7 linked regions of the Neurospora crassa OR74A genome follow. The protein of the gene in region 1 interacts with the protein of each later gene in a biochemical or structural test. Links are inferred from orthologs where the notes say so. Each region holds a gene or a part of one and is shown on either strand. Other genes may lie near its edges.

The links.
Region 2: the proteins of NCU09561 (region 1) and NCU04327 form a complex in vitro, tested with the Saccharomyces cerevisiae proteins (2 studies listed by BioGRID). The link is inferred for Neurospora crassa OR74A from reciprocal best matches to the Saccharomyces cerevisiae genes PSF3 and MCM2.
Region 3: the proteins of NCU09561 (region 1) and NCU08009 form a complex in vitro, tested with the Saccharomyces cerevisiae proteins (3 studies listed by BioGRID). The link is inferred for Neurospora crassa OR74A from reciprocal best matches to the Saccharomyces cerevisiae genes PSF3 and MCM3.
Region 4: the proteins of NCU09561 (region 1) and NCU01171 form a complex in vitro, tested with the Saccharomyces cerevisiae proteins (2 studies listed by BioGRID). The link is inferred for Neurospora crassa OR74A from reciprocal best matches to the Saccharomyces cerevisiae genes PSF3 and MCM5.
Region 5: the proteins of NCU09561 (region 1) and NCU08119 form a complex in vitro, tested with the Saccharomyces cerevisiae proteins (2 studies listed by BioGRID). The link is inferred for Neurospora crassa OR74A from reciprocal best matches to the Saccharomyces cerevisiae genes PSF3 and MCM7.
Region 6: the proteins of NCU09561 (region 1) and NCU02539 form a complex in vitro, tested with the Saccharomyces cerevisiae proteins (2 studies listed by BioGRID). The link is inferred for Neurospora crassa OR74A from reciprocal best matches to the Saccharomyces cerevisiae genes PSF3 and MCM4.
Region 7: the proteins of NCU09561 (region 1) and NCU04378 form a complex in vitro, tested with the Saccharomyces cerevisiae proteins (2 studies listed by BioGRID). The link is inferred for Neurospora crassa OR74A from reciprocal best matches to the Saccharomyces cerevisiae genes PSF3 and CDC45.

Annotation. Positions count from the first base shown.
Region 1 is NC_026507.1:995,840-999,992, forward strand, and holds NCU09561 (DNA replication complex GINS protein psf-3), read right to left. Parts: upstream 2,801-4,153; 5' UTR 2,667-2,800; coding exon 2,625-2,666; intron 2,550-2,624; coding exon 1,935-2,549; 3' UTR 1,365-1,934; coding exon of another isoform or gene 613-1,364; 3' UTR 544-612; coding exon of another isoform or gene 426-543; 3' UTR 227-425; downstream 1-226. Other genes in the region: NCU09562 (hypothetical protein), read left to right, coding at 426-543, 613-1,364; NCU09560 (superoxide dismutase), read left to right, coding at 3,027-3,082, 3,159-3,304, 3,426-3,994. UniProt on the Saccharomyces cerevisiae protein: Functions as part of the GINS complex which plays an essential role in the initiation of DNA replication by binding to DNA replication origins and facilitating the assembly of the DNA replication machinery.
Region 2 is NC_026505.1:5,630,912-5,635,128, forward strand, and holds the start of NCU04327 (DNA replication licensing factor mcm2), read right to left. Parts: upstream 2,801-4,217; 5' UTR 2,649-2,800; coding exon 2,644-2,648; intron 2,561-2,643; coding exon 190-2,560; intron 48-189; coding exon 1-47. Other genes in the region: NCU04328 (metaphase-anaphase transition protein), read left to right, coding at 3,464-3,597, 3,652-3,706, 3,766-4,217. UniProt on the Saccharomyces cerevisiae protein: Acts as a component of the MCM2-7 complex (MCM complex) which is the putative replicative helicase essential for 'once per cell cycle' DNA replication initiation and elongation in eukaryotic cells.
Region 3 is NC_026504.1:3,901,905-3,906,069, reverse strand, and holds the start of NCU08009 (DNA replication licensing factor mcm3), read left to right. Parts: upstream 1-1,365; 5' UTR 1,366-1,595; coding exon 1,596-1,668; intron 1,669-1,751; coding exon 1,752-4,165. Other genes in the region: NCU16827 (hypothetical protein), read right to left, coding at 1-271. UniProt on the Saccharomyces cerevisiae protein: Acts as a component of the MCM2-7 complex (MCM complex) which is the putative replicative helicase essential for 'once per cell cycle' DNA replication initiation and elongation in eukaryotic cells.
Region 4 is NC_026505.1:3,119,120-3,123,337, forward strand, and holds the start of NCU01171 (DNA replication licensing factor mcm5), read right to left. Parts: upstream 2,801-4,218; 5' UTR 2,582-2,800; coding exon 2,436-2,581; intron 2,371-2,435; coding exon 838-2,370; intron 773-837; coding exon 277-772; 3' UTR 1-276. Other genes in the region: NCU01172 (GARP complex component), read left to right, coding at 3,489-3,577, 3,638-4,218. UniProt on the Saccharomyces cerevisiae protein: Acts as a component of the MCM2-7 complex (MCM complex) which is the putative replicative helicase essential for 'once per cell cycle' DNA replication initiation and elongation in eukaryotic cells.
Region 5 is NC_026501.1:338,887-342,858, reverse strand, and holds the start of NCU08119 (DNA replication licensing factor mcm7), read right to left. Parts: upstream 2,801-3,972; 5' UTR 2,695-2,800; coding exon 2,646-2,694; intron 2,511-2,645; coding exon 166-2,510; intron 1-165. Other genes in the region: pex1 (peroxisome biosynthesis protein), read left to right, coding at 3,731-3,847, 3,924-3,972. UniProt on the Saccharomyces cerevisiae protein: Acts as a component of the MCM2-7 complex (MCM complex) which is the putative replicative helicase essential for 'once per cell cycle' DNA replication initiation and elongation in eukaryotic cells.
Region 6 is NC_026501.1:2,664,377-2,668,311, reverse strand, and holds the start of NCU02539 (cell division control protein 54), read right to left. Parts: upstream 2,801-3,935; 5' UTR 2,591-2,800; coding exon 2,266-2,590; intron 2,203-2,265; coding exon 68-2,202; intron 1-67. Other genes in the region: NCU02538 (coatomer zeta subunit), read left to right, coding at 3,265-3,304, 3,385-3,486, 3,571-3,811, 3,885-3,935. UniProt on the Saccharomyces cerevisiae protein: Acts as a component of the MCM2-7 complex (MCM complex) which is the putative replicative helicase essential for 'once per cell cycle' DNA replication initiation and elongation in eukaryotic cells.
Region 7 is NC_026504.1:3,568,033-3,572,320, forward strand, and holds the start of NCU04378 (DNA replication initiation factor Cdc45), read right to left. Parts: upstream 2,801-4,288; 5' UTR 2,443-2,800; coding exon 1,675-2,442; intron 1,623-1,674; coding exon 1-1,622. UniProt on the Saccharomyces cerevisiae protein: Required for initiation of chromosomal DNA replication. Acts at the origin of replication. Also has a role in minichromosome maintenance.

The sequences.
Region 1 (4,153 bases):
AACCCAAATTTGGGACGCCCGGCGGCAAAATTGTCCACGTCAACGCGTGTCAATGGTGAGCACGGCAGCGAGGCATTCGAGCGAGTCGAAAACGGGGCAAAAGGGTAAGGCTGGGACTGGAGCTAGAGGATCCTATGACCGTTCGTGATGCCGGGGCCGCGCCTGTTAGACTTGTTGATGGGGTTGGAGAGACCGATCAAGGGGAAGAAAGGCATATATACTGCTGCAATAACTTATAATCGTCATTGATGTTGTACTTGTCATTGTCGTCTTTCTCAACTTCTCTTATTCTTTCATTCGTTCTCTCTCGGGCTGGTTTCCGACCGCTGTTATTTTCTTTCTAGGCGTAGCATACACCCATCTCCGCATCGGCCCTCGCTTGCTAGACTCACCTGTTTCTGCGAGTACAAGCCCAATCAGGAGCCATGCGTCATCCGCTCTCTCTCCGCTTCTTCGCCAACTTCACTATTACCATTCTCCTTGCCTGCAACATAGTCTCTGCCTTTCATGTTGAAGATCTCCTTTACACCTTGCGATCGCTGAGTAAGTCTCGAGTACCAAGCTCAAGATACCGGAAGCTCTAAGCACTGACGACCCCCTCCCTCATCACAGAAGATGCGCCATCCGGTAGCGCGGTTCTCAAAGCCCGCAGCTCGAACTTCACCGCTCCTGCTTCCGCTCCGGCTTCCAATGGCACTGTTGGCTCCTCCCATCCTGACTCGACGGACAAAAAGGAAGGGGGGCTTGGCCTAGGTGGTCTGTTGCATAACCTCTTCGGCCGCCATGATACGTCCACCGCCATTACTCTCAATATCCGGGCCTCAAATAGCACCGTAACCCCTGCTGGTGTTTCCAACGGCACTATCCTTGGCGGTGCCTCCCATCCAGACGCGGCAACCAAAGGAGACCACGGATCCCTTGGACTTGGCGATCTCCTTCACAAGATCTTCAATCACCACAACACGCCCACCATCCCTGGTCCTCTCGCTGGCCGCAGCTCGAATAGTACTGTCCTTCCCGCTGCCGCATCCAACGGCACTGTGCCCACCGGCTCTTCCCACCCGGATGCAGCAACAGAAAAGGGACAGGGGCTCGGACTGGGTAGTCTTTTGAGCAAGATCTTTGGCCGTTCTGAACCTGTGCCTGTGTCTGTCGAGCCTGAAGATGTTGACGAGGTTGACGGCGAGGTTGGTATGCTTATGAGTCTCAACCGCCGTGCCAAAAAGGACGGGGAGAATAGGCTGAGCCGTGAGGAGAGGAGGAAAAATCGGGAGAAGAGGCGTGTGAGAAGGGCCATGTCTGCTGCAACTGAGTCTAAGAAGGAGGAGAGGCATGTTGATCGCTCCAGAGTGTCCCGCGGGTGAGGGTGGTGGCTAGTCGTCGGCCAAGCCAATTTGAGCTTCGGCTATCTTGTTAAATATTCCATAGACCGTGATGGACGAAATAGTGGTATACCCAAATGAAGGATCCGATGTCGCTCGCTAGTCACCCACCAATTGACGAAGTCCGAGTTAACAGAGAGTGCCGAACCTCATGTCCTCTTAATATCTCATGAGTCTTCCTCATTATTAGGCCAGATGGTCTGCTGTGCCGCTGACAGCACAACTCTGTGAAGATCAGCGATGCGTAGGATACTCATCCGGCGATAGCAGTCCAAGTCCGCCATACTTCCAGGGGAGGGTGACACAACTAAACCCCCAAGAATCCTGTCTCCTTCGTGGTATCCCGATGCTCTCGAGCCGTGATAATGACTGATCCACAGCTTCGTCATGGTAAATGAACTTGGGAGGTCGCCGGTGGCCTGTTGTTATATACTGCATCGAGCGCAGTCCGAGAATCATGGAGGATGCTTGAACCGAAGCGCTGGTTCGTTGCGAGGTAAAGACCGATCGGGCGCCAGCGGTAGCAACAACGCTCCAACAGTACCACTCCACTCACCTCTTCTTGACATTCTCCATCCACTCCTTGCTCGCCTTCGTCCCATCATGTGCACTCCTAAACAGCTTCCTCTCCCACTCATCCAACCCTCTCAAAAAGTCCTCACCAGCGCCTCCCACGCCCAAATTGCTGGCATTATCGTCCTTCGTCGCCTTCCCCTTGCCCTTTCCTCCGGCTCCTCCGCCATCTCGACCATGATACGAACTTCCGCCCCCACCCACCTTCCTAGCATGCAACGCAATCTCCGCCGCCCTCGAGACAAACGTTTTCCTTAACACTGCGCTCAGCTCCGGCTCCTCTGACAACTCCATCATGTGCGTGGCGAGGGCGTAGAAGTGGGCGCTCTGATCGCGCAGCGGCACGGAGCGCGGGTCGGCTTTCAAAGCTTGGACAACGTCGTTACCCAGTGCCGGGGGCAGGTCGAAGGTGATGAAGGATTTGCTGGACTGTGATGGGTCGTCCATGTCGACGGCGCCCGTATTAGCGATGGCGAGCATTTCAGCCAGCCAGATGGGGAGAGCGACGCGCGAGCCGGACTTAAGGGTGTGCCCCGGTTGGTTGTCGAGATAGCCAAGGTCGGGGACGTCGATTTGAAAGGTACAAGGAATTTTCTGGGGAGGATCGTCGGGTTAGTTGGTGTTTTGGCGTTGGGTGATGATATGGTGGGGGAGGGAGATGGAGGGTACCTCTGCGTCAGTCAGGATCGCATCGATATCGTAATATGACATGGTGGTGATTTTGGTAGCTTCAATTGGACCAGCCTGGCGTTTGGAGATGAGTTGGACAGTGTTGAGTTGGACAACTGACCCAAACCAAGTTTTCGCCAGGATTTCGAGATCAATCAAGGTTCTGGGGAGACGCGCTCTGGAAGTGGGAGACGCGACAGAGGAAGAGCGCCGCCATGCCAAGAGACCGCAATTAACACTGTGGCTTACTCACCACTCAGAGACGGCTCCTTGTTCCACTTTCAGCCACACGAGCCATAGAGGTACCCACCTCTTCCCCTCGGCGGGGTGGGGCTATGACGGAATTAGTTGGAACGGTTTCCATGGAGCTTCCATCATCATCCGAGCTTATTAGATAAGTAAATGGAAAGAGACATTTCCGATAGTCGCAATCAGTCGGCCAATTCACTTACTCTGAGGTAGCCGCCGTCCCATTGATCATCTAATTTTCCTCTTCTCGCACTTCAAGACCTAACCACTTCACCTAATTACTAGTCTTTCTCTCGATAAACAAGCCGTCACAATGTCCGCATCCCTCTTCCGCGCTACTCCGGTCGCCCGCAGCGCTCTGCGCGCCGCCAGCGCCGTTAAGCCCGCCGCTACCTTTGTCCGCGGCAAGGCCACTCTTCCCGACCTTCAGTGTAAGTTCTTTCCTCCAACATTCGCTCGCTTTGCAATGCCCGCTCCTCATTTCAGTCTATCCTCCCTCCGCTTCGGCTTTGAGGAAAAACCCCCCAAGCTAACTCACTCTCCTTTCCCTAGACGACTACGGCGCTCTTGAGCCCTACATCTCCTCCAAGATCATGGAGCTCCACCACTCCAAGCACCATCAGACCTACGTCAACGGCCTCAATTCGGCCCTGACCACCATTGCCGAGGCCGAGTCCAAGGGTGACTTCACCAAGGCCGCCTCGGTCGCCCCTCTCCTCAACTTCCACGGCGGCGGCCACCTCAACCACACCTTGTTCTGGGAGAACCTGGCCCCCGCCTCGCGCGAGGGTGGCGGTTCACCCGATGGTGCTCTCGGCAAGGCCATCACGACCGAGTTTGGTTCTTTCGAGAGCTTCGTCAAGCAGATGAATGCTGCGCTGGCCGGCATCCAGGGCTCGGGTTGGGCGTGGTTGGCCAAGGATAAGGCTGCGAACGGCAAGCTCGCGCTGATTACCCGTGCCAACCAGGACCCTGTTACTGGTAACTATGTGCCCCTGTTGGGCATTGACGCGTGGGAGCATGCGTACTACTTGCAGTATGAGAACAGGAAGGCAGAGTACTTTGAGGCGATCTGGAACGTGATTAACTGGAAGACTGTTGCCAAGAGGTTTGAGGCTTAAGTTGTATATACCTTGGGGTGTAGTAGCAGGGGCGCTTTAATTGACTAATGTGTTGCTGCTGTGCAGAAAGCTTGTGATTGTTTGGTGGTAGTGTTGTATGTGATATTACTTGCGGTTACGAGAAGGTCACGAAGCGTCATGTCAACGGTGCAGGAGGGT
Region 2 (4,217 bases), on another chromosome or scaffold:
CGGCAGAAGGCTTCGGAGATGCGGATGATGGCTTCCAAGTGACGGACCTAAGGTGGTGGTGGGTGAGGTTAGCAGTTGTTATTGTGTTGTATTTTGTGACGGAGGAAGAAAGAAAAAAAAAAAAAAAAAAAAAAAAAAAAAAAAAAAAAAAAAAAAAAAAAAGGAAAAAGGAAAGAGGGAAGAACTTACAGTAATAGGATAAGCCCCCGTCGCCAAACTCTCCCTTCTCATATCCGCAAACAGCCTCGCCACCTTATCCTCATCCATGTGATACAACTTTGGCTGGCACCGCTCTCGGGCATAAAGGATATACTTCCTCAACAGCTCTTGTGGGATTTCGCCCTCTTTTTTACGGCCGTGTTCACCAGTTTGTTGGGTTTCCGCAGCAGCTTGGGTATCGTGTTCAACCTCCATGGAGTCACCACCGCTAGCGTCCTGCGTGTTGTTGTTCATCAACGGATGACTCCTCGAATGCGACCCGACAATGAAGCGCGCCAGCCGCTCATCTTCTTCAGGCTCGACTGTGTCGCGCACGACGCAAAGGATGTCGAAACGAGACAGAATCGGCTCGGTAAGCTCCACGTTGGCAGAAAAGGGAATGGTAGAGTTGTACCGCCCGCCAATAGGGTTAGCAGCGGCGATGATTCCGCACCGGGCTTGCAGGGTCGTGACGATACCGGCTTTGGAGATAGAGATGGTCTGCTGCTCCATGGCTTCGTGGATGGACGTGCGGTCCTGGTCGTTCATCTTGTCGAACTCGTCGATCAGGCAGGTGCCCTTGTCGGCGAGGACGAGGGCGCCGCCCTCGAGAGTCCATTCGGACGTGAGCGGGTCGCGCCGGACGGAAGCCGTCAGACCGACGGCGGAAGCACCCTGGCCGGTGGCGAAGACGGCGCGGTGGGCCGTCTTTTCGGCGTACTTGAGTACTTGTGATTTGGCGGTACCGGGGTCGCCGAGGAGCAGCACGTTGATGTCACCGCGGATGTGGTGGGCGCCGACTTGCTTGGCGACGCCGCCGAAGAGGGAGAGGGCGACGGCGGTCTTGATGTCGGTGTGTCCGTAGATGGAAGGGGCGACGGAGTTGATGATCTTGTCGACAATGTGCGGGTCGCGCGAGAGACGGCGAATCTCGTGCTCGTCTTCCTCGGTCATGCGGAAGCCGGCGAGCTGGTCGTGGGATTTGACAATGTTGTTGGCTTCGAGGATGGTGGCGAAGACGGGGAAGCCGTTGCGGTTGTTGAGCTGCGCGTCGTAGTTGTTGCGGTAGATGCCCGTTACTTCGATCTCCTCGCCCGGCTTGGCCTTGTCGATCAGGTCCCAGAGGAGAATGACCTCGCGGTGACGGGGCAGACGACCGGCGGGAACGGTGCCGGGGGATTCTTGGAGGGTGAGCTTTTGGTAGTTGCGGTAGACGGTCTTCTCGGAGTTAAGGGTGAAGGGGCCACGAGACTGGCAGGACTGGCAGTAAGAGATCTTGACTTCGACGTTGGACTCTTGCTGGAAGGGACCGAGAGTGACGCCGCACTTGGTGCAGTCGAACTTGACATACTTGAGCTGGGGGAAGACACCGGTGCGGCGGGTGACGACACCGCTCACGCGCACAAGACAGTTGAGGTGCGACTGGCGGAGCTGACGGAGGGTATAATGGATAGGAAGGTCGAAGATACGGACGTGGATCTCGGCGTGAATGCGCTCGTAGTCGGGGTAATGGAGAAGGACGACTTCCATGGCAACCTCGTCGAAGAGCTTGAGCATCTCGGTTGGCGCATTGGCGAGGAAGTATGCGAGAATGGCCTTGGCTGTAGCGAGGTGCTCGTAGGAGACCTCGAGAGACTCGGCGTTGATCTCACCAAGAGTACGGATGCGGTTGCCGTAGACGGACGAACCGCTCTCGTCGGTGTATTCTGTGAGGAAAGCCTTGAACTCTCTGCGGATGGTCTTTTGTACAGCCGGGACTGAGATCCATTCGCTCAAAGTGGCAGCCTTGACATCCATCAGGGCCTCGAGGGGAAGTTCCGAGTCCATAATGTCGCCATCCATATCGACATCGGGGTCTTCATTGTAGCGGATTCTTCGGCGGCGTTCCAGGTTGGTAAGGTCGATATCACCATCGTCGTCATCACCAGGAAGATACGTGGTGCCCATTCCCATCCTCACTTGACGGTCTCTCTGGGCCAACTTGGCTTCAAGACGGCGCCTTGCGGCGGGGTCGAGGGCCTCATACTCGTCATCGTCGATGTCAATTCCTTCGTAGGCGTCGTTTTCGTCTCGTTCCCTATAATCGCGCTCGAAGCCTTCGCGGAACAAATCTACATCGTCTTCGGCCAACTCGTCGAGGTCGTCAATGTCGTCTTCGATTTCAGCGGCGACGTCTTCCTCGATGTCGTCGTCCTCATCTGCGCCATGGGCAACTGGGAAGGCGGGAGGAGAAGAGGGCATGACAGGGCTCGAAGCGCGGGGAAGCGAGGAAGCACCATCGTGATCGTTACGCGCACGCTTGCGAGTGGCCCTGGGAACGGCGCCACGGTTGGCAGAGGACGGGTTGTCGCGAAGCGGGGAACTGGTATTGGAGAGTTTCCGTTAATTCACTGTTTACTTGCGAAGAGAAGCCGTGACAGACGAAAGAGCAAGAGGCACACATACCTCATGATTGCGACTTGGCTGAGGGTATCTCAGAGGACTGTAGCCAGCTACAGATGGAAGAAACAAGAGAGTGGAGGATGCTGGCCTAGTTGTTACTATGGAGAATGAATGCCAGCCAGAAAGAGGATATGTTGCGGGGTGAGACAGAGAGAGAGAAGGGGGGGGGGGGGGGGAGGGGAATGGAGACAAACAGCGTCGAGGAACCACTGAATGAATGTTGCCCTTCGTTGCGGCGACCTTGTCCCTGCTTTTTTCTCGCGTTGCAGTCCAGGGAAGACGCGCCAGACGTGATGCGCTAAGCCGGATAAGGGCGGTCGCGTTAAGTGGTTGCTGAGGTTTAATGGGCTTGGCAATGCGTACCGGACCCACTTGGTGCTGCTCTTACACGCCAATTCGACTCGTCGAGATTCCCAAAAAGTCACAAAAGCTCAAAGTCCAGTGAACAATGACGAGCAAAGCATGAGCTATAAGGTGCTACATACTACAGGGCCATGTTATTGATCGGATCACGTTCAAATAGGTTTCCTTGAACCCAATTCCAATCTGTGCTGCTTGGACATATAGACCACAGTGCCTTACACCAAACCAAGGGTACATTGCAAGCTCGGTCCTTCTCCCCACGCTTCCACCAACGCGCCCTCCTCCTCCTCCTCCCCCTCCTCCTCCTCCTCTTCGCGCCCCAGCAATTGTTTTTTGTTTTAAAGACTTCCGGACAGAACCCATCTTTCGTGATCCAGCACCATCTCGAGGCATTTGTCTTATCAACAATTTTGATAGACCACCGACCATCCAAGATTGACCGTGAAAGCATCCATCACCCATGGACCCTCAACCGGCGCAACAGCCCGCCGAGGCCACTCCAGATGGCCATGGAGCTCCAGCACCAGTCGCGCTCACCAAGACTCGTACTGAAAGCTTCTCCGCCAAGTCAGAAAACTCTCAGACTGCCGCAGAGTATGTTGTCATATATTGGACTTACCACATGACAAAGTACTAACCATGGTCTAGCTTCATCCGCGACCAAATGCAACTAGAGGCCGACGCTCGCGAAGCTCTTCCATACGTGCGTGTCCCTTGTCTTCTCTGCCCTTTTCCTTAAAGTCAATCCTAACCTCCCACCAGAGCATCGAAACCTGCACCAAGCCCCTCGGCCCCCTCCGCCAGGCCGTCTTCTCCTGCCTGACCTGCAACCCACCACCCGCCGACCCGAAAGCGCCCTACAATGCGGCCGGCATCTGCTACTCCTGCTCCGTCCAGTGTCACGGCGAGCACACTCTCGTCGAGATCTTTGCCAAGCGCAACTTCACCTGCGACTGCGGTACCACACGCTTCCCGCCCACGAGCCCGTGCAACCTGCGCATCAATGAGGAGACGGGCACCAAGGGCGGCGTGCACTCGGAGGAACCAGATGTCAACAACAAGTACAACCATAACTTCCGGAATCGGTTCTGCGGCTGCGAGTGCGATTATGACCCGTTTGAGCAGAAGGGGACCATGTTTCAATGTCTGGGCCTAGGCACGGCAGAAACGGGTGGTTGTGGGGAGGATTGGTACCATCCTGGGTGCATCGTGGG
Region 3 (4,165 bases), on another chromosome or scaffold:
AGTCTACCGGGAACCGATTACCGTGTCTACATGATGGAGCTGTACGACATGGACCACAACAGCACAGCTCGTTGACGATAAGGGTGGTTTTCGTCCCGCCTTCGAAGAAATCGTACGACCAGAACCGCAGGAGAGAGTTGATGCTGTATGAGGCTAATGGCAAACGGCATAAAGTTGATGACCATATGTAACTTGCCATAGCCATGTCTGCAAGCGGGCAATGACGGCTCAAGTGAACAGTCGGGAAGTCGAAACAACAAACACAACACATTTCACGGTAGGATCCCGATGGGATCCCGATGGTGATGGGCTCTAGTCGGGTACGAAAACCACGGGAAAATCAAGGAACCAAAGGATGTATTCAGCCGTTGCAGTTGTTGAGCGGAACCTCAAACCTGACTGCCGTGAGAAGAACGGATGTGGGGCAGTAATCGCCGGCTAGGAGCAACGTCTATCGGACCGTTGAAAGTTGATGTAGCATGTGAACGACGCAGCAGGGGAGACAATGATCATGGGGAGCTCAGGATGGCACACTCTGGCTCGCGCTTGGAGCCGTCGAGAATCATCACCCGACTGGGGTCGGTTTTGCTCGAGTACTTGGGCGCTTAGGCTCATAAGTAACATTGGTACCAGTGAAGCTGCGAAAGCCCTGCGTTGGCTTATGGGTTAGAGACTCCAAAGAGTGGATCGAGTAACTTTTAGACACTCGTGGCTTCTTTCCATTTTACACTTTGGTAACAATCACTTTGTTTCACCCATGTCGTCCACTTAACAGGACCCAACAGATGTTGTCCTATGGTCATACTTCAACTGCTAACACGAAGCATAGCACAACTACGAAGTATGAACTTGTAATTTAAAGGCTGGGAGGCACACATGTATGTGAGGTACACACGCTAGTGACCAACAACACTACTGAGGTTTCGGCCGCCTTGAGGTTGTTGTTCTTTCTCTTCTCGTTTTCGGGGCAACACAACGTGGGCTTGCTCGCTGAGGATCAAAGGCCATGCGGAGTACCGAGGTCTTGAAGACACTGTCGAGCCAGACATGGACGCTGGTCAAGTTGAAAAGGCCGAGAGGTACAAGTTAGAAGAGATCAAGCATGTGCAAATTGACCTGGAATGTATGTACAATCTTCGTGGAAGTTTTGTTATCGATAGTAAATGTAACCTGGAAACTACACTGAGTGGAAGTCTGGAGGGCCGAGGTCTGGTGTAGGTGGTTAGATACTGGAAATTACACGCTTCTTGATGGCAATTATGGGTAATGACGGTATCAGGTACAGCCCCGCTTGTATCAATTAAGCCCCCTGCCTGAAGCAAGGGGTTTAGCGCGACTCGCGTGTCGTCGACGCGTTTTCCACTTAAAATCGTATCGTTTCGTTTTGTCACTTTTCCATGGCGGCTCCGCAAGGTGAAGCGCATGCGCCAAAACAAAACATCGGCGACTCTTTCATTCTTCTCCAGCAATCTTTTTGGACGACAAGAACGGAGGCCACAACGACTAGCCTTACTCCGCGTCCGAACCCGTGTTACCTTTGTTTCCCGTCTGTGACACTGGCTTGAAGAGTTGTTCTTTGGATTAATACCTTCAAGATGGATTACAACGCCCTCCGCGACGAGGCCGTACGCGACCGTGTGCGCCAGGCCCAGGAGTTCCTCGATCCTCGTACGTCGAAGCTTGAAGCTGATGCTGGCCCTTTGTTCACGACCGAAGCATGGAACGAAACTAATGGCGAACCTTATCTACAGATGACCAGCACCAGCGAAGCTACAGACCAGACATTGTGTTGATGCTCCAGAAGAACCAGAGGAGACTCGTCGTCAATATCGATCATGTCCGCGATCACAGCTCTGAGGTAGCCGAGGGTCTACTTACCGATCCCTTCAACTGGACCCTCGCCTTCAACCATGCGCTCAAGACTATCGTCAGCACCGTCCCCCAGGCCCGCCCCGATCAAATAGACCCCGACGTCTTATACTATTGTGCCTGGGCTGGCAGCTTTGGTCTACACACCTGCAACCCCAGGACACTGTCCTCCCAACACCTCAACAATATGGTCTCGATCGAGGGCATCGTAACAAGGACGTCCCTGATCCGCCCCAAGGTTGTCAAGAGTGTACACTACAGCGAAGCCAAGAAGACATTCCACTACCGCGAGTACCGCGACCAGACCATGACGAACGGCATTGTCACCAACAGCGTCTACCCGCGCGAAGACGAGGAGGGCAACCCGCTCGAGACCGAATACGGCTTTTCGACCTACCGCGATCACCAGACCATTTCCATCCAGGAAATGCCGGAGAGGGCACCTGCTGGTCAGCTGCCCCGAGGCGTCGATGTGATTCTCGACGATGACCTGGTAGACCGCGTCAAGCCTGGCGACCGTATCCAGCTCGTCGGTATTTTCCGGACGTTGGGTAACAGAAACACAAACCACAATAGCGCCCTGTTCAAGACGGTCATTCTGGCCAACAACATCGTCCTGCTGTCCTCCAAGTCGGGTGGTGGTGTGGCTACAGCTACCATTACCGACACCGATATTCGCAATATCAACAAGATTTCCAAGAAGCCAAAAGTTTTCGAGTTGCTTTCACAGTCACTGGCTCCCAGTATCTACGGACATGACTACATCAAGAAGGCTATCCTGCTTATGCTGCTGGGCGGCATGGAGAAGAACCTGGAGAACGGTACACATTTGAGAGGTGACATCAACATCCTGATGGTCGGTGATCCTTCCACCGCCAAGTCGCAGCTCCTTCGTTTCGTCCTCAACACTGCTCCATTGGCTATTGCCACGACTGGTCGTGGTTCTTCCGGTGTTGGTTTGACTGCTGCTGTCACATCCGATAAGGAGACTGGCGAGCGTCGTCTGGAGGCTGGTGCCATGGTTATGGCTGACCGTGGCGTCGTCTGTATTGATGAGTTCGACAAGATGTCAGACATCGATCGTGTTGCCATCCACGAAGTCATGGAACAGCAAACTGTTACCATTGCCAAGGCCGGTATTCACACCTCCCTTAACGCCCGTTGCAGTGTTATCGCCGCGGCCAACCCTATCTTTGGACAGTACGACACCCACAAGGATCCTCACAAGAACATCGCCTTGCCCGACTCCCTCCTGTCGCGTTTCGATCTTCTCTTCGTAGTCACCGACGACATCGAGGACACCCGTGACCGACAGGTATCCGAGCACGTCCTTCGCATGCACCGCTACCGCCAACCCGGCACCGAGGAGGGTGCTCCTGTGCGCGAGAACGCCGGTCAGGCCCTCAACGTCGCCCTCAACGGGCAATCCGAGTCCCAAAAGCCCACCGAGATGTGGGAGAAGTACGACGCCATGCTGCATGCCGGAATCAAGGTGCCCAGCGGCCGCGGGTCTGCCAACAAGAAGCCCGAGATCCTCAGTATCCCCTTCATGAAGAAGTATATTCAATACGCCAAAACGCGCATCAAGCCGGTACTGACGCAGGAGGCTTCCGACCGCATTGCTGACATCTACGTGGGCCTGCGCAACGACGACATGGAGGGCAACCAGCGCAAGACGTCGCCCATGACGGTCCGTACGCTCGAGACGCTCATCCGTCTGGCCACCGCCCACGCCAAGGCACGCCTGTCCAACCGCGTCGAGGAGCGTGACGCCGCCGCTGCCGAGTCCATCCTCCGCTTTGCCCTTTTCAAGGAGGTGGTCCAGGACGAGTCGCGCAAGAAGCGCAGAAAGACCCGACCCGCCGAGGGCGAGGATGGCATGTCCTCCGACTCTGACGACTCTGATGACGATGACGACGACGTGGCAACTCAAACCACCACAGCCCGCTCCAGCGCTGCCAGAGCTTCTCGCGCTTCCCGCGCTTCCCAACGCGCCAGCCGACGCACTCCCGCCAATGGCGCTTCCTCCTCCTCCGCAGCAAACGCCAACGGCACTCCCAGAGAGGAAGAAGAAACCCAAGGAGCAGAAGAAGAGGAAGAAGACATCTACGACGCCACCCCGCGCCGCTCAACAAGATCTGCTCGCACAACCGGCGACTCACAACCATCCTTCGCCTCTTCCCTTCCCGCCTCGCAACTTCGCTCCACTCGCTCCCAACGATCATCTCGTCGCACCGCTCAGAACCAAGACGACGAAGAAGAACTCGCCTCCGGAGCCGCCAACCTCAACGTCGAC
Region 4 (4,218 bases), on another chromosome or scaffold:
GAGAATACTAAACTGCAGCAAGATCATCGAATGTGTGTCTTCTAGCTGGCCGTTGAAAACTGTGACAGACAAAATATCTACCATGTCAGACCCAAATAAAATTGGAAGAGCCCCCCTTACGCCCATTGCCATGAAACCCCATATTGTACTTGTTAACCTGTACACCCAAAGAAAAATAAAATAGCAGAGCAAGAACGCTTCGGTTTTGCTTTTCTTTTCTCTTTTTTTCGTCGGAACATCTTCGAAAAACACTCCGTCATTTCCCCACCATCCCTTCTACGCGCCATTCCTATAAACCTGCGCGCCCTGGTTCCTAAACATAATGGTATCCCGCCTCTGCAACATCATCAGCGCCCTATTCAGCGCCACCTCGCTAAACCCTTTACCCTCCACCATTTCCCTGCGCAGGGTCGCCAAGCTGGTGCTCCAGCCGATGGGCAAGCGGCGCTTCAGCTCGGCCTCGACGCGGGACGTCTCCTCGTTCAACTCCCGATTGCTGCCCGTGCTGCCACCTTGGTTGACGGCGTCCATGGTCGAGCACAGGAATAGCCGGATGGCCTCGTCCACGTGCTTCTCCGTCGCGACGGGCGAGAGCGTCAGCTTGGCGAGCGACTCGGTGATGCGCACAATGGCTTCGAGCTGGCGGACCGTGATGGGAATCGAGGAGCGCGCGTTGGCTTCAAGCTCTGAGGCGTGCACTTGCTTGCGGATGGCGACGAAGTGCGAGGAGAGCTTCTCGGCGGCTTCCGGAGAGAGGCGCGGGGCGCAGCGGCTGGAGGAGCGACAATGTCAGTTTTTATGTGTCTAAGGTGGTAGATAGGAGCATAAACAACTTACGATCGGCAATAGCTGATGTACCGCCTCATCTTCTCGACCGGGATCTCTGCCTCAATCCGCTCCTCGACACCACGACCACCCATATGGATACCCATAACGTGCTTGGCGATGCGCTCATCACGGCCGCGCTCGTGCTCATCCTTGACGATGAAGATCATGTCGAAACGCGACAAGATGGTGGTCTGAAAGTCGATGTTCTCGCCCGGGGTCTTCATGTCGTCGTAGCGGCCAAAGATGGGGTTAGCGGCGGCCAAGACCGAAGTTCGAGCATTGAGGATCGTGGTGATGCCGGCCTTGGCGATGGAAATGGTTTGTTGCTCCATAGCTTCGTGTATTGCCACTCTGTCCTCATCGCGCATCTTGTCGAACTCATCGATACAGACGACACCGCCGTCAGCGAGAACCATGGCACCGCCTTCGAGGTAGAACTCGCGCGTGGAAGCGTCACGCTGGACGGAAGCCGTCAAACCGGCGGCGGAGGAACCCTTGCCGGAGGTGTAGATGGCGATAGGAGCGACTTTTTCGACGAACTTGAGCAGTTGTGACTTGGCCGTACCGGGATCACCAAGCATGAGGACGTTGATATCACCACGAAGCCTCATGCCATCTGGAAGGATCTTCTTGGAGCCACCCATGAGTAAACAGAGGATAGCCTTTTTGATATCCTTATTTCCATAGATGGACGGCGCGATGCATTCGGCCATGACATTGTAGAGATCTGGACGACGGCTAAGCTCAAGGAACTCCTGCTCTTCCTCCTCGGAAAAGACAGCCAGACCCTTGGCTGTTTGGTCAATGTCTGTCTGGATACCGACTGCGCGGAGATAGGGTGTGCGAATGGCGACGGCGCCGCTTGTGGACTTCTTGTTGCCTCCACTTTGGTATATAGAAAAAATACCCATGACGGTACACCTTGAGCCGGGCACCACGCGGTTCGTGAGGTAGCGGTCGGCGGAAATCAGGACATGGCGGGGCAGTTCACCGACGGGAACTTGGTCTGGAGCTTCCTGAAGCTTGATAATTTGCTGATCGACGAATCTGGACTTTTCATGTTGTACAAAGTAGGGATCCATTGGGCACTTCTCGCCAGGGTCCCCAGGTGCCCTGATTCTGCCACATGTCCTGGGAAGGGTAGCGCCACTGAAGCCGCCGGATACGTGAACGTGTTGGACGTGGCCGCAGTTGCGGCACTGGACGTGGAGCTCAGTCGCCTTGGACGACATTACCGAGGCACCAATGACGATACCAGGTACCCGGACCAGCCGGGAGATTGTAAGGGAGTCGAGGTTACGGATAGAAACATCTTCGGCGTTGGAGTGTAGAAGCAGTTGGTGGTCGGGCAGGTCTATCTTGGGTTCGTTTGGGAAGACGATTCGGTGTGTGCAGCGCTTCAGAGCGGCCTCGAACAGAGGGATAATCTCGGCGGGTTCGGTGACTAGTCTATGGGCAATTTCTTCATTGAATTTGATCAAGTCGCCAATGTTGACATCGCAGTAGTATTTCTTTAGAAGGGCATTTTCTCGTAGTTGGTCTCTGGAAGGAGTAATGTTAACAGGAAGCTCGACAGAGGACAGGAGTATGCTACACAGAGTACGAACCTGTAGATAAAGCTGTTATCTAGTCGGAAGTCGAGAATGAAAGCCTCGAGCTGGGCGCGAATGTGCTGGTTGCTGTCCTCCTCTGGTACATATGAAGAAGCAGCGCCGGCGTAGGTCCGGGCTGAGAAGACGGACTGATAATCCATAGCTGACGGTGGCTTGGTATGTGATTGTTTTGTTTACTCGCGTGCACTGGCCGTAGATGTTCGCACCGGGAGAATTGTAGAAAATAGCAGAGAAGGGAGGGGTTGTTGGGGGCAGAAAGACAACTAACAGAGGGAGAATCCAAAATGGCAAAACATGTGCGAAAACCGCGACGCGAGAAACATTGATACTGCACACCCAAGACGCGATTTTTGGCAGGGGTTTTAATGGGCACCCCACTTGTAGCTGAATGGCAGGTACCTGACGGCTCAGCAGGCAGGCCCCCTGAAGTGCGGAGGAAAAGGAGTGCTTAAAAGGATATCCAGCTAGGGGGGGTTCACCCTCCAGACACTTTTGCAGCAACCGGTGCAAGACCCAGCTTTGTGGCCCGCTCAAATACATACCACAGTATACTTACTGCGTAGGTAATCATCAGTGGCGGGCGGAGCTTCATTCAACTGCGCTACGTATCCCGAACAAGGGTCCTGTGGGATCCAATGCCCGCTGCGTGGCTTCCGCTGTGAATTGGGGGGACCTTGACATTCGACAGGCAGCTCCGAGTCCCTGACCTCAACACCTGCTCGCGTCGAGACTACAGCTTTGCGCCTCTTCTTGGCCATCTTCTGTGGAAAATACAATCTGGTTCTTGTCTTGTTCTCGTTTCGCTATGATACCCCCGTGACCCTTCGCAGTAACCGCCCATACTCTGGACCACGATAGCCTCAACGCCACCTACCTTGGTTGCTTCCCTTGGCCTGCCGGCCCGCGCCTACAGCTCGATAGACTAATACCGATTACCGAACCCCCTCCCCATCTTCCCACGTCGCCAATCCACCGGCGCATGACCAACGGCCATTTCGTCTTCCCCTGAGCTTAGGCCTAGGACTTCCGGGAGACTTATGAGCCATCATGTTCTCCAACCAGGGTGCTCGCAAGTCGGTCGATAGTCTTTCGCCAATACCCGATGCCGGGCGGTTTGGCGACTTTCCTTTCCACGGGTGCGATGCGCTTTGTCTGTCCATGCCCTTTCCGTAATATACACTAACATCTCCTTGAAGGAGAGGCTCACGCAGTCCGAGCCGCCCGTTCCATTCTCGACGGGATTCGACGGCGGGCTCCATACACTCCATCGGTGGCTCTCTCGACAGTTCCACTGGTACCTGGGGTGACGCCGTCCTAGAGTCCGGTCAGAACGCCATCTCAACCCTGCTCCAACCGCCCATAGTCCGAACCGGCCTCCTTCCCCATACCTCAGCACCCGCTTCCACTGCGCATAAGCCTCCGACTGCTCGAGACATTCCACCTGTCACGCTCACCAATGTCCCTCGCATTGACAATTCCGAATTCACACAATATCTCACCCAAGTCGGCGCGTTATACGAACAATTACGACGGGTTCAGGCAGACGAAGAAGAGGCATCTGGTACTCACAGCAGACGAGGTAGCAAGGCGGACGCAACCTCAGCCGAGGATGGCCACCTACGACCGGGCAAACGATCTGGCGCATCCAGGAGGGCATCCAGCTCATCCATTACGTCCATATCATCGATAGAAGCCCCGGGTCCCGCTCGACGCAGCTCAAGCTACAGGAAAGCGGCATCGCAAGGTCCTCCACCATTATCCACCATTCCCGTGGTAT
Region 5 (3,972 bases), on another chromosome or scaffold:
AGACAGAAAGGGGAAAGAATGGAAGTACGAAAGGGTAAGAAAAGAAGGGGAAAAAAAGAAAGGGGAAAGAAAGACTAGAAGGGGAAAAGGAAAGAAAAAGGAACAAAAGAAAGGAAAAAAAAAAAAGAAGAGAAAGTAAAAAAAAGGGGGCAAAAGAAAACTCACATCCAAATCAGTATACTCATCCAACGCACTCAACCACTGCTGCTCCGTAAAGCCCTTGGCAATCACCCGTTCCTTGACCTTTCTCAAACTCATCTCCACCCCAAACTCATCTTCTTCTTCCTCTTCTGGGGTATCATCAGGTCTGCACGCTCCACTATCCGCCAACCCCTTCACAAGGTTATAAATCCTACTACTAGCATTCATTGCCCTCTTATTGCCAGTATTCCTATCATCCTGCGCCAACGACTCCTTGCTAGCTTCCACGAGACGGAGAGCTTCATCAACATCATCTTGCGTGACGGTGTTGCTGAACCTAAGCCGAGCCAAAGCCTGCGCAAGACGGACGACACCTAGCAAAGTACGCGGCGTGGTATGGCCAAAGTTCTGGTTCTTCTTCTCTGCGCGTTTCTGCTGTGCGCGCAGGCGGACGTAGGTTTTCACCATGTATTCGGAGACTGCTTGCGGGACGACGGGGCGGTACTCGCGGGCTTTGGCGACGTAGGCACGGACTTCCTCGGGGGAGAAGACGGATGAATCCGGTCCGGTGCCCGTGCCAATGTCGGGGTGGCGGTTGTGCATGTGCACGTAGGCGACGTGCTTGGCGAGTTGGGCGTCCGTGTCGCGCGTGGGCGTGTCGAGGAGGAGGAACATGATGTCGAAACGGGAGAGTAAAGCGGCGGGGAGGTTGATGTTCTCGACGGCCGAGAGACGGGTGTTGTACCGCCCGTAAAGCGGGTTGGCGGCCGCGAGGATGGAGGTGCGCGCGTTGAGAGTGGTGGAAATGCCGGCCTTGGAGATGGAGATGGTTTGTTGTTCCATGACTTCGTGGATGGCGGTGCGGTCGTTGTCGTCCATCTTGTCGAACTCGTCGATGCAGCAAATGCCGTTGTCGGCGAGCACGAGGGCGCCGCCTTCGAGAACCATTTCGTCTGTCACGGGGTCGCGCATTACGGCGGCGGTGAGACCAACGCCCGAGGAACCGCGGCCAGACGTATACACGCCGCGCGGGGCTACCTTGGAGATGTACTTGAGCAGTTGCGATTTGGCCACACCGGGGTCACCCATCAGGCAGATGTTGATGTCGCCGCGGATCTTCATGCCGTCGCCGACTTCCTTAGTGACACCGCCGACCAACAAAAGGAGGAGGGCCTTCTTGACGTCGAGGTGGCCGTAGATTTCGGGGGCGATGGACTTGGCGAGGTACTCGTACGTGTTGCCGGTCTGTTGGAATTTGGCGATACGGCGGAGCAGGGAGGGGTCGATCTGCATCTCGGTGTAGGCTTTCTTGTGCTGGACAATGTGGTGGGCCTCGAGGTAGGTGTCGGTTAGCAGACCGGCGCGCATGGCCTTGAAGCCGGTATAAGGAGTAGGGAGGAAAATTCCCGAGATGTCGACAATGTCACCGGGGTGGACATTTCTGACCAGACTGCCGTACGCAAGCACGGTAAGGGTACGGGGAATCTGACCGATGGGGACCTGCTCGGCGAGTTCCTGGATCTTGATCTCCTGGAAGGGCAGGAACTTGGAAGCCCGCGACGACGGGTACAGCTGACCTTTGGCCTGGTTCTCCTTGCAGTCCTTGGATGGGCAGAGAGTCAGGGGGGCGTACTGCTTGTCGGTGACGGGCTGGAAGATTTCGCAACCGCAGCGGTCGCACGTGTAGGCGCCAACCTGGACAATGGGCTTGACGTCGGACACACGGGTAGCAATACCGCGGATGGTGATCAGGTGGCCGAGATGATCGCCGCGCACTTGGCGGACCGACAGGGCTTTTTGGGGCCCATCAGCAGTCATGGTCCGGGGCTTGAAGACGAGGGTGTAGCGGCGGGTGAGCTGGGCGGGGTATGTGTCGTTGAGCATGTCGGGGTCGCGCAGGTTCTCGGCGGCCTCGGTGAGGGTGCGGTTGCGCTGTTGGCGGTTGGCCATGAGGACGTCGAGCACATCGTCCTTGAATGTGATGTCGTTGCTGGTTTGGGGCATCAGCTTGTCGACGGCGCGCGAGAGCACCTCGACGTAGTGCTTGGTGTTGCGCTCTACCGACTCAACCAGCTTGAGGCCCTCGTTGACGTCCTCCTCCCATGACTGCAGGTCGTCCAGGTCGATGACTATCTCGTTGATCTTGCGGTCGGCCAGTTCCTGGAGAAGCTCCTTGTACTTGTGGCGGGGGGCGCGTCTCCTCGCTCTTTCGGAGCGGCGCTGTTGCTGGGCATCGTCGTCGTCGTCGTCGTCCATAAAGTCATACTCGTCGCTGAGGTCGTCCTCGTTGATGTCGATGTTGCCTAGCGCATGGGTGATGGAGTCTTGGGGCGAGGTCTTGAAGTCGTCGAGAAAGTTTTCGAACGCGGCTGTTGTTCGAATCGTTGTGGTTAGCGCCCAGCCTGCCTCTTGCTTGCAATCCATCCTCCGCGCTTCGATCGAGAAGCCATCATCAAATCAAAGTTTTCCCTCGTCGTAATTGAAATTATTTAGTCACCACCTACACATTTGCGCGTCGTAGTCGACGGGGGCGGGGTATCTGAGGAGCGCCATGGTGAGAGATGTGGTGGGTGGGATAGTATGGCGCAACTCGGTGTGTGGTCAAAGGTCTGGCTGGGGATTGTTTTGGTTGTGTTGCGATGGGGAATTCGACTTTGTTTTGTTGGACGAAGGATGTCAACATTGATTGAATGGAGGAGCATGAAAGAGTGGGTCCTCTGTCCATTCAGTTGACTCCACTGTCGCGGTTCGAGTCGCGATGAGACGCGGTCCGGCAAAGGAATCTTTAATGGGCCAAGGTACTTACATGCATCCCTACCTCTACTCTAGACACTGGAGAATGCCCCTGGCAGGTGGCAGTGAGTGGCAGGAATGAGTTATACAGGAGGCGTGTCAGTGTTGTCCAGGAACATGATTATCGACTTGAGCCTCATAACATGTCAACCATAAGAGTGTGAAGTGAAGTACCATCTCATGGCATTGAGTTGCTGGAAACAGGTTATACTTCATATCCCACGTTCGTACTCATCTATACAGTTTCAATGCCTCAGATTTGGCCTCTTTCTCCAGTTTCCATCCGGATATCTTCTCCCTTCAACATGATGGCTTCTTGATGCTCATGTATTCCCCTAACAATTCCATGCGGCTGTACCTGCGCTGGGACATGCCCGAAACCCCCTGTACCAGGTCGTGGCGTGCCTCGGCACATGCAAACTGGGGACAGCTGGAGAAGCTCCAATCGGGCTCCAGCCGCGGCTCCAGGTTCTCCCCAATCAGCTGAAAACAACACCAATCATGCCCCTGGATCTCCGCCCAAGACAACAAGAACCCGGGGATTGATGGGGCGGATGGATTCCCGTTGTTCGGTGTAATTGTTAGACTAGTAGGTCGACTCAGCCAACTAAGCTACCTAGTGACCTTCGCTAGGTACGGTCAGGACCCTTTCATCTGTCATCTCATCATCGCCTATGCCAAACACCACGACGACAGCATCATCACCACCACCACCACCACCACCACCACCATAACAAGTAGTCGACACGGACGACGACGACGACGACGACGACGACGACGACAGCAGCCACCCACCATGGCTCCCAGAAAGAACGCGCAGTCTACCGCTGCCGAAATCTCCCTGGTCCATCTCCAAAACTGCTTCGTCAACCTGCCACCGTCACTGGCCTCCCTGCTCTCCAATGTCAACACGGTAAGACCCCCAGTCAGAAGAAGAACCATGGAATGCCACTGGAGACTAGCTGACACAGAACCACCCTCATGGATAGCCCGCCCAGAATGTCATCGTCGAGCTCAACTACCGCGTCCAGTCGACCC
Region 6 (3,935 bases), on another chromosome or scaffold:
TTTTGAGGGGGAGTTGGTTAGTTTGGGGTTCATCTTCGTGTGGATTGACAGACGGGGAAAAACTCACAAGGACGTCGTTGGCCTGCTGGGCACTCTCGGGCTTGTCTTCGAGATACATGGAGAGCAAATGGCGGGCCAGACGCTGATCATTCTTCTCATCAACACGATCGAGGATGAGGTAGACCAGATCGAAACGGGATAGAAGGGTTGGCGGGAGGTCAATATTTTGCGGCACTGATAGATCAGGGTTGTATCTACTACCAATGGGGTTGGCAGACGCCAGGATTGATGTTCGGGCATTGAGAGTGGTGATGATGCCGGCCTTGGCGACGGACACGGTCTGTTGTTCCATGACTTCGTGAAGAACGGAGCGGGTCGATTCGTTCATCTTGTCGAACTCGTCGATACAACAGACACCGCCGTCGGATAAGACGAGAGCACCGGACTCTAGAACGAGTTGGCGGGACTCGGGATCGCGGGTAACATAGGCGGTAAGACCTACGGCAGAAGAACCTTTACCACTCGTGTACACACCTCTTGGGGCGATTCTGTGAACATAGGAGAGAAGCTGGGACTTGGAAGTGGATGGGTCACCACAGAGGAGAACGTTGATGTCTCCACGGTATTTGGGGCTTCCACCCTTCTCAAAGGTCTTGTTCGTGCCTCCGAACAGTTGAAGAAGAATACCCTTCTTCACATCATCCATCTCGTAAATTGATGGAGCCAAAGAACGTGAAAGGAGATCGTAGATATCCGGTCGAGCGGCAGTTTCCTTGATCCTCTCTTCCTCATCAGGAGAGACCTTTCGGACTTCGTCCATGCTCTGGCCATTAGCATGGGCTTCCTCCTCCTCGGCAAGGTCGAGGGTCGAGGGATCAGAACCCATCCTCTTGCGGTCGACCTTTTGTACATGGACAACATCAACATATGTCTTGTGCACGCTCTTGACCGTCCTCATGCGCGGGTTGACACGAACGGGGGTGACTTTAAAGATACCAGTGAGCTCAACTCTGTCACCGGCCTTGCAAAAGTCCACAAGCTCGTTATAGACGCAAACGGATACCGAGTGGGGTGTCTGACCAGCAGGCACGTTATCCGGAGTTTCTTGCAGCTTGATGACTTGCTTGTCTTCGAAAGCACATCTGTTGTGGATGATCTGCATTGAGTTCTTGGAGGCGCAGCGAGCCCGAGGACACTCTGTAGGCTCACGAATCTTGCCACGATCTAACTGAACGGTTATAGAATGACCACAAACACTGCACTTGAAAAATGCATCCTTCATGTCGGGGATGACCGGCGTGGTTCTGATGACAAGACCCTTGATGGACACAAGCTTGTCCATGTCAGATGGGTTGAGGTCACGGAGGTTGGTGATCTTGTCAAGACCCCACGGGCGAACCACATACGCCATCTGGCTGACTTGGTCCTCAATTGTGGGCGCCGCTGTTTGGGCAGGCCGCGGGGTGGGCGGTTCCTCGCTCCTTTCAGAGCTTGGGAAGTTCGGCTCCGAGCTTTGTGAGGCACCTGGAGCGGTCCTAGAGTTTTGGGATGCTCTTTGGCTGGCCATTTCCTTTTGCGCCAACTCCATCATACAGTCATGTACGCATTGATCCATGACCGGGATGATTTCGGTAGGATAGTGTTGGGCCTGATGCCATAACTTCAAGGTGCGCGGGTAGGACTTGAGGTCGCGGAGATCCAGATACAGCTTGTTGGTACCAAGCAGCAGCATATTCTCCAGTGCCTCCCAATATGGCTTCGAATCCGCATCCGGATGGCCAATAGTCTCGGCCTCGTCCGCGCCATCTGCCCACATCCGGTATTTCCTGGTGAAGTTCCTGAGAAAGTCCTTGAACGCGGAGAACGAATCGTCAAGAGAAATTGTTGTACCCCAAACAAGACCTTGGCTTTGTCCACCAAGGGCATCTGCCTCAGAGGTATTGGGGTTATTGGTGACAAACGAGTTGGCATCGGAGCCAGGGGCATCGCGGATCACACGACCGGCGTCGTCGAGGATGATTCGGCGGGGAATCTGGGCGGGAGTACGAAGAGGGTCCCCGTTGATGTCGCCTCGACGGGATCGACCGGCAACGGACCTTTGCGAGCTGACGAAGAGCTGACTGCTTTCGCTACGAAGATCGGACTGTTGAGTAAGCTGACGGCCCGGGCTAGAACTGGAGGCATAGCGGATGGGAGAGGAGTCTGCGGAGTGTGGTCAGCATTCAGTGTAGTCCTTTTTTTTTTTTTTTTGGTTGACAGCCATACCCCCAATTAACTGGCTCCGTCCGTTTGCGCGAGGAGTTCGGTCAGCATCGCTCTGGGTCTCTGTCTGCTGGCGCAAAGGCGAGCTCGGCGCATTGCCTTGGTGGGCAGTGCTCTGGGTATTGCTCATCTGCCTCAAGGGAGAAGATACCGGGGCGGCGCCATTGGCAGGCGAGGAGGGCTCGTAGAATAAGGGACTAGAGGCAAGCTGTGATGCGCGTGTCTGGCGAGGAGTTGCGCTCGAAGGACCAGCCTGCGAGCTGCGAGTAGTGCGGGGAGTAGCTGATTGGGAGCTTCTCGTTGTTCTGCGCTTTGCTGGGGAAGACATGTTTACTACTCTGTCCTCGGTGGTTTTGTTGAGATAATACAAAGTATGGAAACTAAACCAACAAGAAGGGACAGAAGACGGGCAGGTTGGGATGGAGACGCTGGAGTGTTGTTGTGGCGGCTCCCGATCCCTCTGTAATTGCGAGGTGGTTGGCAGGTCGGCAGCGTGTTCAGGACGGGCAAGGTGGATCACGTTCCTATCGAAAAAAAAGACAGTCGCGACACACGCGTCTCTGATAAAAGCACTTTACACGGCCGTTCGTGTCTGCGGGGGCTTACTCGCGTTGACCCATTAAAACCCCTGTCATACCCAAATGAGACGGACGAGGCCACTGCAGTGCTGCTCTTGAGTGCGAACTGTCAGGTACGTAAGGTACGTACCGCGCCGTGGGGCCTCGCTTGGAGTGTTCGCTCTGGATTCAAGCCACATCACAGGGACCGCTTCACCCCACAATACCCACGCTCACCACGGTAACCAACGATACCGCCTGCCCCTGGTCATTGTGAGCACTACCTACCTACGCAGCACCTCTGGAGTTCAAGCTAACCACTATATACCTACCCACTTGCGCCCATTGAAGTCGAGTTGCCCCTCGTCGCCGACCTTCTCCAACCGATACCAGTCTCGAGACAGCAATTGATCAAGAAACAAGAACCCCCAGATAACCAGTCAAGATGTCGCCAGGAATGTCGCTGTATAGCGTCAACGCTATAGGTACACTAGGCACCACGCTGCTCCTGGGTCCTGGCTTATACGCGCCACGTCGAGCAATGTTGACAATTGCGTTCCAACAGTAATCCTCTCCAGCGATGACGGTTCGCGGATATTCTCAAAATACTACACTCCTCCTCACGCTGCCGCTGGCGCACCAGGAACAGGAGTGGCCGCCGGACTCGGTACGCAATAGACGCTCCTTTTACCCCTTATTCGGTGTCGCATGTTCCCGTAAGGCTGACCAGCCCGAACCTTGTGCACAACAGCTTCCTCGAGCGCTTCCCAGAACCCCTATCCCGACAAGACTTCTCAAACCCGTTTCGAGAAGGGCCTCCTTCAGAAGACAGCTAAGCAGACGGGCGATATCCTCCTCTACGACAACAAGGTGGTGCTTTACAAGATGGAGTCGGACGTTGCTATCTACGTCGTTGGTAGCGCGGACGAGAACGAAGTTCTGCTCTACAACGTACTTTTGGCGCTTAGGGACAGCTTGCATATGCTCTTCAAGTGAGTATTTATGGCGAACGTGAAGGTGCCGGTCATGGGACATGATTTGGCTAACCACGGACTTTCTACTCAGGCAATCGATCGACAAGCGCACGATAGTCGAAAACTACGATCTGGTATCCCT
Region 7 (4,288 bases), on another chromosome or scaffold:
AGATCCGAGTCGTCGTCACTATCTTCCTCGTTGTCCTCCTCCTCGTCCTCATCGCCGCCGGCGTCGGACTTGGCTTTCTTTTTCTCTTCTTTTTCCTTTCTCTTGGCCTCCTTCTTCTCGGCCTTGATCTTTTCCTTGATCCTTCTCTGCATCTCCTTGGCTTTAGCTTTGGCCTCTTTTTCTTCGGCTCGCTTCTTGGCCGATTCACGATCGAGAAACTTTGTGTCTGGCCCACCGCCGCCACCAGTACCGACGACAACATACACTCCGCGCTTGTCATCTAGACTAGCCACTACGAGAGGTGTGCCACGACCGCCATGGGCGAGCCTCCCGCCAGTGGCTTCTTTTTCCTGTTCCGCGAGTGCTTCACCGATCCAGAGCGCTAGCTTGGTCAAAGCGCCGGGGTGGTTGAAGAGTGTCGCATCTGGTGAGTCCTTGACCACGCACATGCGAAATGCGCGCAGATGAGATATTTGTTTCTTCTTCAAAATTGTCGTGCCAGTGGTGAAGATGGCCTTGTGTAGATACTGCGCCGTGGGAAGGCCAGCCTTAAGGGCCTCGATGTCCTCCAGCGCATCATACGCCTCCCAGAACCTGGGGATCCACTCCTCACTTTGGCTCTGGTTGTTGTCTACGTCGAGAAGATCCTGAGATGGGCCAGCAGGAAGGTCATCAGCACTAGTGGTGTTCTTCCCCACTTCCAACAGGGCTCCGACTACGACACCGACATCTTGCGCACTCAGGGTTGCCCTCCAACCCCAACTGCGTACAAAGCCCCATCCATCTTTGGCACCTCCACGATCTTTCCCGTCCGTGTCTATGGTCGGGACAAGTTCGTCGAGGTTGTAGAGAGACGCGTATTTTAGTAGTTTGGTGCGAAGTTCGCGCTTCAACATCATGTCCATGTGGGCATAACTCTGCTTGCACTGCACCAGACTGACACCCATCTTGGCGAGAAGCTTGTGTAATCGCTTCATGCCAGCCTCGCTCCACGTCTTTAGCCGAGAGAAGAGGTAGGGTGAGTGAAGCATGCTGTCGTATAAACTCCAGTGCCTAATAAGCAGGAACTTGGGCTCCGGCGACAACCTGATACTGGTATCCTCCGGACTTCGAGCGGTTGTTGGGATAATTCCTGTCGTCTCGGGGAGCACCCGGCCGTTTCCTATCTCTGGTGGGTTGAGACGTCTGACCTCGTCTCGCAGAAGCTGCCGTATTCTCGCACCACGCATGCCGAGCCAACCGGAAATGCGGGCGTCTGACCTGCGAGCTGCTACCGCAATACCGGCAGATGAGCGGCCGTACAGCTCCATCGACGTGACCCCAACGATCGCTAACCATAGCAGGTCGTTGTCTTCACGACCCAGTTCTGACGCAAGGGAGTACATCATGGACGAGATGGGCTCCGAATATGATGTACCCAGTCGGTAGTACTCGCGCAAAACTCCCTCGTTTTCTCGTCGTAGTCGTAGCAATCTCCGTCGGAGGGTGTTGGCTGAAGGGCCTCTGGGTGGTTGTGCAGCAGGCGGAGCTTCCAGCGCGTCACTGGAAAATAGGGCATCGTCGCGTAGAGATATGAGACCACGGTGTTGCGGTCGTCGAGGCGAATCTGGAATTGGACTCGACTGTATCTGGCATGAGAGATGTATTACTATGAAGAAATCGGAATGTACTCACCGAATTGCTTCTTCGTCGCTGTCTGGGTCGGTCGTCTTCATCATCGTCCTCGTCGAAGTCCGACCATGATTTCCTCTTTCTGCCTGCAACAACCGATGTATCGCCCGTGTCTTCCTCGTTCTCGCTTTCGTCTTCATCACTGTCGCCCAAGTCTCGGCCATCATCTTCGATTTCGGGCATATCCACTAGCGCCAGATACGCATCTCGTTCCTTGGAGAGCTCATCTTCAATGTCGCCGTCATCCATGACAATGATGCCGCCTTTGCCTGGTTTGTATGCTCGCTCTATCCGGCCGCCATTGACACCAATGGGGGTTCGCGCAGAGAATGTCCTGGCCTCTTGCGTCTCTGGTTCGAGGGGAAAGCCGCCGAAAACGTTGCCCAAGTTCCACGGGCGATGGGAGTCGATCACCCACACCTCTACACCCCCAAAGGTATTTTCTTCGCCCTCGGGCTCAAGTCCCAAAACTGTGCCGAGGTCAACCATACCACCCACTCCCAAGCATACGACGACTCCTCCAGCACCACCACGGGTCTCCATCATGGGGCTGACGAGCTCAGTGCCGGCACGTTCGAGGTCGGAGTAGCCAGCGACTGGCTGGATCTTGTGCGGAATATAGTCATGTTTGAGAAGTTGGGTTAGGATACGGCAGGCACATAGCGCATCGGTTTCGAGAGCGACCAAGATGAGGACGGGCGGCGATAGTGGATGGCGGGTATTTTGCAAGTGGAGGTAGAGTTTTGATATAAGCTGTCGAGGGAGATACATTGCGAAGGGAGAATCGGTATCGAGGGTGGATCAGCGAGGGAAATCGGCTGGGGACGGATTGTCGAGGCGGGGCGGCGAGGCGACGTCGTCGTGGGATATTCGCCGGCGTGGAACACTTCAGTTGTAGTTTACTCGAGGTAACTAACTTCGAACTCTGTTCACTGGGCAGAAAAAAAACCGACGGGGGATGCGCGACGCGGCCTGCCCCGCGTTAAGAGCTTTCTGCTCTGGACTATGTAGCTTGAAATATACGATGGCAAAAAAATACTGGTGTGATGGCGATGCACGTCAGTCGGATAGTGTTGTCGCGGTCGACAATAATTCGGGCGAGGGATGATGGTGTTGATAGGAGTGTTCCTTTGTTGATGTTGGCCAGGATCCTTTAATTGACATGGAAGGGCGGCCAACCAGCGCTGCGCTTCGGACGCGCTTCGAGACGCGACTCTGTGAAAGTGGTTTTGTGCCAGGGCGGGCACAGCGTGCATTACTTAGATATCAACCACTGCAGTGGACTGCAGGGGGGGCGTCAGCACAAAGCGTGCAGTGAAAGGACGCGGCCGGAGCGACCAGTTTGCTTGTACCTAGAGGTACCTCTACGTACTTGTAGTGGGGCTTTGGGTTTTGGGCAGGCAAGACGGGAGGTACCTATTGTAGAGCTGGGTAAAGTACCTACCTACCTACTGCGTACAGTAGTATATCAAGAAATGGCGGGGTACAACGCGAAGTGGAATTGCCCAGGGCAGCTGCTGACAGCCAAGGCCACAGGGGCACCCCGGGGCGGCCATCCCTCGACCGAAGCACGGGCATTGGTACAGTAAGTAGGTAGGTAATAAGGTAAACCAGGTAGGTACATCATAGCCCGGCAAATGCCTGCCCAGAGGACAACGGAACAACGGCCAGTAAGGTTCCTGCACGACAGCAATGCGATAGAAGCTTCCACTTCTGCAACTTGTCCACCTGGTCGAACGTGGAATTTCACGAGAATTTCTGCCGGCCGATGTCCCTGGATTTTAGTGAACTCTTTAGTTGCCGTGGAATCATCTGAGAACACTGTCACCGTGGGGCTGCCCAACAGCTGGAACTGAACTAATTTATCAACCTGGGTGACCAGCTGTGCTCTTTCCACTCCATCTCCTACCATAGCATAGGTAGGTGTCCAGACAGGCATCGATGTCCCACAGAAAGGTCCGCGGTGAAGGAACGGACCGGGGATGATGAACTATTCCGAAATTGCAGAGTGCGGATTGAAGTACAATACCTAGCACAGGAAGGGACCATCTAACGATGTGCTTTCCAATCCTGGATTCCGGATCAGCGTCTCCGGATTTCCGATTCGACCTATAATCCAGCTTCCATCTTCGCTTCTCTTCCTCTGTTTAGTTTGGTCCCTCTTTTGTCAATCCACATTTCCATCATTGCTTGGATCACAACACAACAACTGCCGCACACCAGACACCACTCACAACACTGGCCATCCACCACGACACCCACACCACGCCCCGTCTCGTCGGCGACAGTCTCAATTTCACTCCATCCGTGCTACTACAGTAGCCAGCCGGCCTGCCAAGCCAGCCACGACGGCGGCCACTCTTGCGGCCCACGCTTTTCTACGGTCAACCTGACCGCTCCTCTGCCTTCACTGACCAAAGCAGGAAGGAGGCTGTTCAGAGGAACTGACTGATGGTTGGGCCCAGCAACGAGGTGATCGACACGCTTCTCAAAACACTTGTGGTTTGTAAGTTGCCCTGGGGTGCGTCTACCGTGTAGTAGTGTACACTAGAGTCAAGCATGGAAGCGACCCGGGGACTTGGGCAGGTAGCCAGCCAGACCTTGCCAGATATACGCT